2 linked regions of the Mus musculus genome follow. The protein of the gene in region 1 interacts with the protein of each later gene in a biochemical or structural test. Links are inferred from orthologs where the notes say so. Each region holds a gene or a part of one and is shown on either strand. Other genes may lie near its edges.

Region 1 (5,359 bases):
TTTGCACTTGAACAGAGTCAGAGAACTTAGATGACGTGCCCAAAGTCACAGATTGAAAAGGCAGGATTTGAATTTGCCCGGTAAACAAATAGCCTTGATTTCTTGCAGAAGGCATCCATCCATATTCAAAGACCTCATTCTTGAAGGGTGCGCTATATCCTCCCCACCCCAGCTGAAGCCTTGTTGTTAAGTAGCTTTTAAAGAATGCAGCGCTCTCTCTCTCTCTCTCTCTCTCTCTCTCTCTCTCTCTCTCTCTCTCTCTCTCTCTCTCTCTCTCCATATATATATGAACCTCACTGGTAGCCAACTGAATAGCAGAGGTGACTCAGTTTTCTGGAGCCCAGAATAGCCTGGGCTCTGTTCTAAGGTCTGCAACACTCCTAGGAATGGGGCCCCATGGAACCTTGGCCTTACCCTCTTGTGTAAGGATCTGCATATATTCATGACTGGGGAAAATATATATGTATATACATGTATATATGTGTATGTATGTATGTATGTGTGTGTATATATATACATATACATATATACACTCACACACACACATATATACATATACACTCACTCATGCTCAGAACACACATAACCTTAGCTGCTTCACACCTACAACAGTTGACTCAGGCATGATGGAGCAGAGATAGTATGAGTAGTAGTCTGTCCATCCTTCATTTCTGAGGTGTGCATGCCTCGTGCTCCATGAGTTTTCTTTATAAAAAAAAAGGGGGGGTGTTTTTTTTTTATTATAACTCTGTGTGTGTGTGTGTGTGTGTGTGTGTGTGTGTGTGTGTGTGTGTGTGGTGTGGTGTGTAGGAAGGGGTGCACATGCTACCAGTGTGGTCAGAAGACAACTCTGCAGTCAATTCTCCCTTTCACCCTCGAGTGGCTTCTGGACATTGAACCAAGACTGCAGGCTTGCCTGCTGGACCATCTTACCGGCCCACATGTTTAGTCTGTATATGTTGGTGCTTGTCTTGTCTTTGAATCTCCCTCCCAGCAGCAGCAAAGGAGTCATGGACAGTTGGAAGATTCCTTTCTTTTCCCTGTTGGTCGTATGGCCTGTTTGGCATAGGCACTGTCATAGCTAGAATTTGGCTTTGGATAATAAAATGCGACTGTCTTCTTAATTCCCTAGCTCAAACAGCCAATGCCTATTAGCCAAAACCAGGGAGTGCTGCTATGGCCAGGAGAATGGCGGCCCCTCACCTCTACTTTCCTTTCCTTTGGCAGCTTTAATCGCCTTGATTTACCTCCATATGAAACCTTTGAAGATTTACGGGAGAAACTTCTCATGGCTGTGGAAAACGCTCAAGGCTTCGAAGGTGTGGATTAAGGAAGGCTCCAGCGTCCGGGGCACTGCCCTTCCAGCAAGTTCCAAGCGCACTTTTGCATTTGCCGAGCAGACTTTTGCAGAGCCGGTGGCAGAAGCAGTGGCCTGGCCCGGCTCTGGAGCCCAGCTTGTCTGGGCCCTGCCCAAGTTCCGCCAGGGAACCCAGCCCCAGCTCAAGTGCCGCCCCCTCACCGCCAATTCTCAACTGGTTGCCGTGTACACTGATTACATTTCAGGAGGACGTGTTCTATTTATGTTGTGCCTCTGCAGGCAAAGCCCTTAATAAATATTTTGCATACTTTCTAATGACAATGAATGGAATTAATCACGCTACAGGTATAGTATTACAACTCATGTTTACTTTTTAAAATGATTTAGACTGATTTTCAGCTTTTATTTCATTACAATTAAAGATGTCTCATGTACTTGGAAAAGTGAGCATATTTTTTTTTGTATTTGAATTTCATATCAAGCTTAATGTCAGTGACATTTTTTTATTTTTGAAGTACTTTGACACTCCCAGCCTCTACTTTATTAGAATTGGAAGACGAATTTTTCTTCAAAAGCCTTCTACAGACAAATACTTTTGAAAGAACTTCAAATATAACATTAAGCATAATATTTTTTCCATACTCAGAATGAAAATAAACTGGATATTACCTTTTTTTTTTTTTTTGTACAAATTTAAATACTAGGTCCAGGCTGGAAGAATTGTAACATAGCATGATATCTTTGTGTTAACTTGAAAGGACTGACCCCATTGTCCCTTAGAAGTACTGACGTGTGCCATCACGCATTTAAGACAGGATTGGACTGTCATCTCGCATCAGAAACCGTTACAATTTCCTGTTGCTGTACAGCCTCTTCTGAACTCTCTTCTCTCTTTGGTGTTCATAGAGACATTTCCAATGGCATTGCTTGATTCAAAACCAAGGAAACCAGAACCATTGATCTTCTATCTCTGTGATTGCTAAGCAGTAGCCAAATAACCTTCCTTTGCTGTATCTGCGTCCCTTCTGAAGGCACTTTATGGAGGTCACATCTGGTTTTGTTTCCATTTTTTTTTTTTTTTTCACGAATATCACTCGTGGCGATTGCTCCTGCCTCCCTGCACAAGTCTATCCGGTGCGGTATCTATCAGGTGTGAACTTGGCTGCTAGCGTATGAACCCAGATGTGACGCAGAGCCTCTGCAGCGATCTTCTCCAACTGTTCTGTAATCTCTACTCAACAATAAGGTTTTAGTTACTGTATACACTTAACCAAGTTGTGTGACCTATGACCTACTTTGCATGCTCTGATACTGTGTGCCGCCCCCACCCCCACCCCCCAGGTCGTGTCTGTTGTGTGCTAGTTTAAAAGTGACCTAGAAAGCCCAGTAGGAACCACAGAGCTCAAGCTGTCTGGCTCAAGTGGTGGAAGAGTGAGGGAGTCTGCAGTTTGTAAGTCTCGTTCTGTTGTGTTCTGAGAAGATGCCTGAGGCAGTATGGGAGTTTCAACACCCCTGCTGTCCCTTTAACTTGTATTGTCCTAGACCCTGTCCTGGAAGTTAGAGGACGTGGGGTATTTTTTTTTTTGATCTCTTGCCAGTTGTGAATAAGACAGAAAGACTGTGTTCTCTGTTACGTAAGAAGGGTCTTTGGTAGAAGAAATTGCTCGTGTTTACACAGCTGTGGATGCCATGAAGAAGCCGTGGACATTCTTGGTGGGTGAAGCCCTAGACGATGGAATCCTACCAAGCTGAACGTCGGCTTCTATCCATATGCTATCGAGTAATTATAGAAGCAATTAACACTCACTGTTCTTGCCTCTGGTGAGATATTTTTCTCCTGTAGTTAACAGATATTGGGTGGGGGGAGGGGAGATACTTTTTTTTTAATAACCTTCCAAGTCCAGAACCATCTCTGTTATAGAGTGTGCCAAAGCCTGAGCTAAGCAGTGTATTTTAATCGAAGAAGAAACCAAAATCTGTTCTAAGAACTGGGGTTCTATACCTCTGTAGGCCCTTTATTGAACAGCATTATTCACTAGATGCAAAGGGAGCCAGCAAGATGGCTCAGTGAGTCTGGGTGCTTGTCACCTAGCCTGACATTCTGAGTTCAATCCCTGGGACCCGCCTGATAGGAGAGAACTGACTTCTACAAGTTGTCCTCTGACCCAATAGATTTACAAACAAACAAACAAAAGATTAAAAATAAGAAAAGAGGACTTAATTCTGATCTTTTCTAAGCCAAGAGCAGAAAAGACTTCTTAAATCCACTCCAGGGAATACTTGAAAGGCAAGTCATTGTGACTAACACTTCAGTTCATTGGCCCATGATCATTTCAGATTTTAACAGCTGTTACTGTTATTGGAGATCGGAGAGTTGGCCTGTTAGAAATTAAAAAATACAGTACAGCTTGCCGTTCCTCTGGTTTGTGAAGTTTCACTCGTTGCCTAAAATGCCCGATGCCTCGTCTCCAGACCTTGCTGCCCTTGCCTGGTCATCTTTGTACAGTAATTGTAAATGGCAGTGGAGACTATGGTGTTCCTGAGGGGCAATGGCAGGTCACTCTCCCGATCTCCCTACTACCAGCCAGGTGCTGTTTCCTTCTGAGCTGTGGAGATCACACCATCCTGTCGCCCTGCAAATAATTGTGGATCATTTACCTTGAGGCTGCAGAGTGGGTTCCAGGACTCTTACTTCACTGTGGAGGGACTTCGAGCATCAGGTGGCTCTCTCATGTTCCTGCCCCCTTTACTCCATGCCAAACCTGGGATTAGACAGCCTGCTGGCTCCAGAAAAAAGGTCTTGGTAGGCATTAGTCTATCCTAGGTGCCCCCAGTGCACTGTCCTTGTCTGTCTGAAGCACCCATCTCTACCTTCCCTGGCCAGTCCTCTGACGGTTCACAAGGGCCAGAGATATGGACTTTATTTTTGTTCCCAGGACTGATGTAGCTTAGTGGCAAGTGTCTCCCTGGCATGTACTTAGCTGTAGATTTGATCCTCATTGCTGGGACTGGGGACGGGGTGGATTAGAAACAAAAATTCTGTTTCTGAGGACTTTTAGCAAGAGACAGAAAATCCTGCCATTCTGGTTGGAAATTATATAAACCAACATGACAATAACTGTTTCCCCCCAAAAGGCTCAGGAGCTGACTTTTAGAAGTGAGGTTCAAAGTCTTTAACCACTTCTGAATCTCATATGGCCTGTTGCTCTTGGTCTTGCTAGACTCCCGTTTGTTCTAAGAGTCAGGCTTATGTATAGCAGCTTCTAGCTGGTTCTCTATTATCCTGGTAATATTGTTTCTCAGCTCTGAAATTTGAAAGTCTACGAAGAAAGCCTGGGTTCATCAGCTGCCCAGCCCCACCTCTCCACTGAGCGCTCTCTCTCTCTCCATCTCCCTCTCTCCCTCTTTCCCTCTCTCCCTCTCTTCCTCCCTCCCTCTCTCCCTCTCCCCCTCAACAGAAGGAAGGCTATCTGTTGTCATTCTCTTCCTGGCCAGTAGGAGTGCTGCTGTGCAGGGTCACTGCCTGCCCTGCTCCCTCTCTGGCTCCCAGAAGATCACATGCTACCTCTGTCTCATTTACAAATTGGGGTATATCCTAAGTCATGTCAAACTGCCGATTTCAGGACTGGGATGTGTTTTAAAAAAAAAAAAGAAAAAACAAAAACAAAAAACTTAAACTCCACTTTGTACCTTAGATTTTAAAACTGGGTAGAAATGTAATATACATTGGACCACTTTTTTAAGCCTTAATGAACAGTGTATATACATCTGTGTATGCACACTCCACCCCAGAGTGTTTTCAGTGTGCCAGAGAAGCAGCTGTAGCGTTAGGACATGAGCCTGTCTAGTGTTTCCTAGGAAAGGGATAGTTTTCTGTTGGTATAGCATTTTCTAAGGAAACTACTCACTCAGCGCCTACCCTTTGTTAGAAGTGTTGACGCTCCAAGCACGCGTGTGAAGCACCATGTATCTTGGCCGGTTTCATATTTGTAAGAAGCACCGGTAGGAACCTAAGAGCATCGGTTGGAGTGTGACCTCTGA
Region 2 (6,074 bases), on another chromosome or scaffold:
TATATGAATTAAGGATGGTCACCCTCATCTGCAATCGCAGCATGAATTCAGGGCCTTGAGAGGACACAGAGTGGAATTCTTTTTCAATGCTGAACCAAAAAGCAAGGCTGAGCAAAAGTTCTTGGTAGGCTTGGGCTCAGTCAGCCACAGGTTAGAGTTATGGTTCAGTTTGAAACACCATAAAAAGAGAGTTTGGTCAACTACGAGCTAACCAGCTTATGTTGTGTATTTCAAATTTGTGAAGTTATACTTGTGTCTTATTTTTGTGTTTATTTTGCTAGTATATAGATCATGTTTTTGCCAATGAATCTAGGCTAATTTTAAATGTGCATGTACCTTTAAATGTAACCTTTGAAATTTTTTTAAGTTTTTTTTTTTTTAATTTTATATATCTACCTTTTGGCTGTGAGTATGCGTGTGCCATGTGCATGGTTGGTGTCTGTGGAGGTCACAGAATGTTGAAACCTGTAAGTGTATTTACAGACAGCTGTAAGTTGTCATTCATGGTGGCCTGGGAACTGTACCTGAGACAGAGTCTCACTGTGTAGCCCTGGATCTCCTGGAGTGGCTTTGTTGACCAGGTTGGTCTTGAACCCACAGAGATCCACCTGCCTCTCTGCCTCCCAGTACTGGGATTAAAGGCATACAGCACCATGCCCAGTTCTTTTTAAGTAGTCCTATTCACTGAAGTATTTATTTATTTAAAATTTGTGAAATATTAAAATTATAGTAGATGCTTCCTAAGGAAAGAATTTTCATCTTTTTTGTAGTTAAGGAAAGAAAGGTATAAATATTTAAGGGTTAAGTTTGGTTATATACATTTCAACTTGTTTTATGTAAGAGCTTATGTACATATGATGTGGGTGTGGTGCCTGTGTGAGGGTCACTGGACAGCAATGTGGAATCTGTTCTCTCTTTGAAACTTTATCTCGGGCCTGGGCATGAACTTGGGTCTCCAGGCTTGTCTCACAAGTGTTTTTAATCTACTTAACCATCTCATCGTCCTCAGAATGTGCTAAAAATATATTATAACTCTAGGTTGAAAATTAACTTTGAAGATCTTAGGAAATTGAACATCCAGGTCCAGACGAAAATTTGTGTTTTGTCAGCTAAGATGTAAAGCGATGTAGCTGTTTGAAAAGATTTTCTTTTAAGACAAAGTCTGTCTAAGCAAGATGGTTTTTAAACTGTAAACCAGTTTAAAATAGCCTCTGTCTCCCATGCTCTTGAACATTAATGTCTTGGACTACCAAACTGTGCTTAGATAGCTTTTTAAAGCACTTACTGTGTTTTAAATATTGATTCTGTGCGTGAGCTTATTGTTTTATTTTTTCCACTCTGTTTTTTAGTTTTTTGTTTTTGTTGTTTTTGTTTTTGTTTTTTCAAGACAGGGTTTCTCTGTGTAGCCCTGGCTGTCCTGGAACTCACTCTGTAGACCAGGCTGGCCTCAAACTCAGAAATCCGCCTGCCTCTGCCTCCTGAGTGCTGGGATTAAAGTTGTGTGCCACCACGCCCGTCTTTGGCGCCTGTCTTTGGTGGGAGGGGTCAGGTCTCAGTCAGGTCTCAGTCCTAGTCTTCTGTGTCTACCAAGTGCTAAGTGTGAAAGTTTATATCACTGTGCCCGGCAGTGCCAGCTGTTCTGGAAGCATCATGCCAGGATCCACAATTGCTCTAGCTTCTCTAGAAAACTACATTCATCAATTAGACATTTTCATTCTAATTGTTTTCTTCTCTGCCCTTATATTAGACAGAGCCTTCCTTTATATTAGGGTGAACTAGACCTCCTGCCTACATCTCCCAAGTGCTAGGATTATAGAGCTTGCTACCATGTCTGACTTTCCTAAGATCATTTTAGAGACTAGTGTATAGTGGGTATTTTAATATATAAAATATAGACCTACATTGTGTGTGAACAGCTCTTGCCAATTAGCATATAAAGAGCAGGGTTCTACAAATACTGTCTTTGGTTATTTTCATTGGCCCATTTGCTCAAACACTCCTAACTTTTTTTTTTAAAGACTTATTTATTTATTATTATATGTAAGTACACTATAGCTGTCTTCAGACACACCAGAAGAGGGAGTCAGATCTCATTACGGATGGTTGTGAGCCACCATGTGGTTGCTGGGATTTGAACTCGGGACCTTTGGAAGAGCAGTCGGAGCTCTTAACCACTGATCCATCTCTCCAGCCCCACTCCTAACTTCTTATAGAGCAGGTCTTAGGTGAGGTCCTCAAATGAGCATGAGTAATACAGTCCTGAAGTTCCTGCACTTGGGAGGAAGAGACAGGAGGGTCCTGTTTTTCATCTGTCTTAAGATGACATAGTAGACTCTGTCCCCAAAACCAAGTCCCTAGACCTACTCATGCCACTAGTAAGAGGAAGAATATTTACTGACATTTACTGCATTAACATATGCTGCATCCAGAAAGTTGAGTTCCTTCGTGTTCTCTCTCTCTCTCTCTCCCTCCCCCCCCTCTCACCCGCCCTCCTCCCTCCCTTCTTCCTTCCTTTTTTTCTTTTCTTTTCTTTTCTTTTCTTTTCTTTTCTTTTCTTTTCTTTTCTTTTCCTTTCCCTTTCCCTTTCCCTTTTCTTTTCTCTCTTCTCTTCTCTTCTCTTCTCTTCTCTTCTCTTCTCTTCTCTTCTCTTCTCTTCTCTTCTCTTCTCTTCTCTTCTCTTCTCTTCTCTTCTCTTCTCTTTTCTTTCTTCTTTTTGCCTGAACATCTAGGGTTGTCTCTTGTGTATTATTCAAGGAAACTGAAAATAGTCACTAGGAATTTTTGTTGTTTGATTTTAGGAATTAGGAACTCAACCAGACAAGGCTGGTTTAGAATAACCGTCTGTGTGGTTAAAAAGTGAACTTACTGTGGTTAGAGATAAAGCTATAGTGTAGTGTGCTTGACTTTACAAGGCCCTCACTTAGGATGACAGTCAAATTCCTCTAGAAGAGTTTGCTCTGAGATTTTCTTGAGACAGGATTTCTTTGTGTAGCCCTGTCTGTCCTGGAACTAGCTTTGGAGACCAGGCTGGTCTTGAACTTACAGAGATCCATGTTCCTCTGCCTTCCAGATGTCATGTGCCATCATTGCCCTGTCAACATTCTAAACATTTCAGGATTAGTGAAGCAAACTTTAAACAAATAATTATTTCATAAAGACAAGGGCTTTTGGTATAAATATAATTAGGATCATGACTTAAATTATGAGATTGAATTTTATTCCTAATTGTGTCTGTGTATTGGTGTGGGTATATAGTTTATGTGGGTTCCTCCAGAGGCCAGAAGCAGTAAGTCCCGTGGAGCGGCAGTTTTAGGTCATTTGCCAGCAAGCCAGCAATGGGGGCTGGGACGCAAACACAGGCCCTTTGCAAGAATAGTACACGCATATAATGTGAGCCATCTCTCCAACCTCAAGTGTAATATTTTAAATAGAAAATTGTCCTATTTTGGAATACTATGGATTGATCTTTATCTCCGTGTTTTACTTAGCATGCCATTAAAGAGTTGTAGTGACTTAACTGTGGTTGAGGGCATGGGCTGCTTGCTCTGCAGTGATCCCAGGGGAGTCCTTGGTACCCACTCCATCAGCAGAGGATGGACTGCTTTTATCCTCTCCAAGCACCTGTACTCAAGTTCACTTATGCAGGCATGATTTAGACATTTAAAAGTCTGTTTAAAATTCCAGTTTATTAGTATTGGTAACTTAAATTATCACTTTATAATGAAATATGGGTAAGTGGTTGGAGAACTTGCTTAGTGGTTAAGAGCATGTGTTCTAGCGGGACACTGGTGGCGCACGCCTTTAATCCCAGCACTTGGGAGGCAAAGGCAGGCGGATTTCTGAGTTCGAGGCCAGCCTGGTCTACAGAGTGAGTTCCAGGACAGCCAGGGATATACAGAGAAACTCTGTCTCAGAAAAAAAAAGAAAAAGAAAAAAGAAAAAGAAAGAGCGAGCCTGTGTTCTTAAAGAGTGCTTGACCTCAGTTCCCAGCATCCATACAGTGACTCAGGCATCTCGAACTCCAGTTTTGACCTTCATGGGCACCAGACATTTAGCACCATTCATACATGGAGACAGAAACTCACACATAATATCTAAGAAGAATGTTAATTAAGATAAAGCTTACAAAGTAAGTAAATGGAACAAGCAGAGAAAACAGCAAGGTGAGGGTGAGGTGACTTGAATAATCTTAGAAATTGACTCATTGGAAGAATAGAAAATTGGTAATTGGTACACGTTAGTTAACTATACAATTTTTAGTTCTAGCGTATTTTTGTTTCCATTCAGAAAACAGACTTTGCTTATGTCATTCAAAGTCCTTTTAACGGTGATATTTTCCTAATTTGAAATTTAGGGCAGCAGCAATGACTCTGCGCACGGTATTATTGTCATTGCAAGCGCTGTTGGCGGCTGCAGAACCAGATGACCCCCAAGATGCAGTAGTAGCGAATCAGGTAAGAAAGTAGCTTTTGAAAGACTTTCTTAGACCTGTGTGTGTAGTTTTAAATATTTCATATTAGCATATTAACATTCTATGTTGTACTAAATTTGGAAATGGTTTCTTTTAATAAAATAATTTTGTCACATATAATAAAATCATGTTACAGGCTAGAGAGATAGCTCAGTGGTTAAGACTGCTCTTAACTCTGAACTCTTCCAGAGGTCTTGAGTTCAATTCCCAGCAACCACATGGTGGCTCACAACCATCTATAATGGGACCTGAGGCCCTTTTCAGGGCTGTCTGAAGACAACTGCAGTGTACTCATATAAAATAAATAAATCTTTAAAAATAATAATAAAATCATGTCATAATAAACAAATAACAAATAAAGAATAAACAAATACCTGTTAGGAACTCCATTATCACTTATGTCCAGATATGTACATTGCAGAGGTTCTGTGTGACTTAAGTTCTCCTTGTACACTTAACTCTTTTGTGATATTCTTTGATTTCAAGAGTTTTTAAAATTATAGTCGTGTTTATGTCATTGTGTTCTGTTTTCCTTGCTTCCTCTTTAAGGAAGCATTTATCAGCCAACCTTCAGATTTTTAAAAATGTGCTTATAAAATGGGTTCCCTTTAGCTGAAGAGATGACTCAGCACTTATGGGCATTAGCTGCTCTTCCAAAGGACCCAGGTTCAGTTCTCTATCACCCACATTTTAGCTCATGACAGTCTGTAAGTTCAGTTTCTGGACACCTTCACACAGACGTACATGTAGGCAAAACATGAATGTACATCAAATAAAAATAATTTTTTAAAATGTTCTTTCTTTTTCATAATATTTATTTATTTATTTAAAGTATATGAGTACACTGTAGTTGACTTCAGACACTGGAGAAGAGGGCGTCAGATCACATTGCAGATGGTTGTGAGCCACCATGTGGTTGCTGAGAATTGAACTCAGCACCTCTAGAAAAGCAGTCAGTGCTCCTAACCACTGAGCCATCTCTACAGCCCACCATTGCTTAGAACTACAGCTTTTAATAGTTTGCACATATGTGCTATTAATATTTGGTAGCAGAAGTCTTTCTTGAAGTTTATCTTTGATTTTCCCACAAATTGAGATAAATTGAGACATAAAATAAAGGGTGACTTTTGAAAAAAAATTATTTATTTTATGTACATTGCTTCGATGTATGTCTCTGTGAGGGTGTCAGATCCTGGAGGTACAGGATCATGTGGATGCTGGCAATTGAACCCTGGTCCTGGAGTAGCAGCTGTCCTCTGGTTGCCAAGCCATCTCTTGGCTTCCATAGCTGATTTTTAACACCTAAAATAATGTTTGTGTTGTTCGTTCACAAAGTATTGCTTGAAATATATTAGGTAATCATAGTAATATGGAGTAGCCTTTTAGTTTGGTACTCCATAGGTAGATGTTAGTGGAGCTTTACATTTGAGCCAAGCCTGAACAATGAACAAGATAAAGATAGCTGGTTCTAGGCTAGCCAGGGCTACATATTGAGAACTTTTTTGAGAGAAAGCGATGTCGAAGGGAGAGGAACAATGAATTACCCAGTCCCTGCTCTGGGGCTAGAGAGCTGGGTGGCTCAGGTGAGGGGTAGTTCTTTGTT

Evidence for each region.
Region 2: the proteins of Nedd4l (region 1) and Ube2k form a complex in vitro, tested with the Homo sapiens proteins (2 studies listed by BioGRID). The link is inferred for Mus musculus from reciprocal best matches to the Homo sapiens genes NEDD4L and UBE2K.

The regions. Positions count from the first base shown.
Region 1 is NC_000084.6:65,211,557-65,216,915, forward strand, and holds part of Nedd4l (E3 ubiquitin-protein ligase NEDD4-like), read left to right. Parts: intron 1-1,227; coding exon 1,228-1,330; 3' UTR 1,331-5,359. UniProt on the Homo sapiens protein: E3 ubiquitin-protein ligase that mediates the polyubiquitination of lysine and cysteine residues on target proteins and is thereby implicated in the regulation of various signaling pathways including autophagy, innate immunity or DNA repair.
Region 2 is NC_000071.6:65,587,522-65,593,595, forward strand, and holds part of Ube2k (ubiquitin-conjugating enzyme E2 K), read left to right. Parts: intron 1-4,354; coding exon 4,355-4,454; intron 4,455-6,074. UniProt on the Homo sapiens protein: Accepts ubiquitin from the E1 complex and catalyzes its covalent attachment to other proteins. In vitro, in the presence or in the absence of BRCA1-BARD1 E3 ubiquitin-protein ligase complex, catalyzes the synthesis of 'Lys-48'-linked polyubiquitin chains.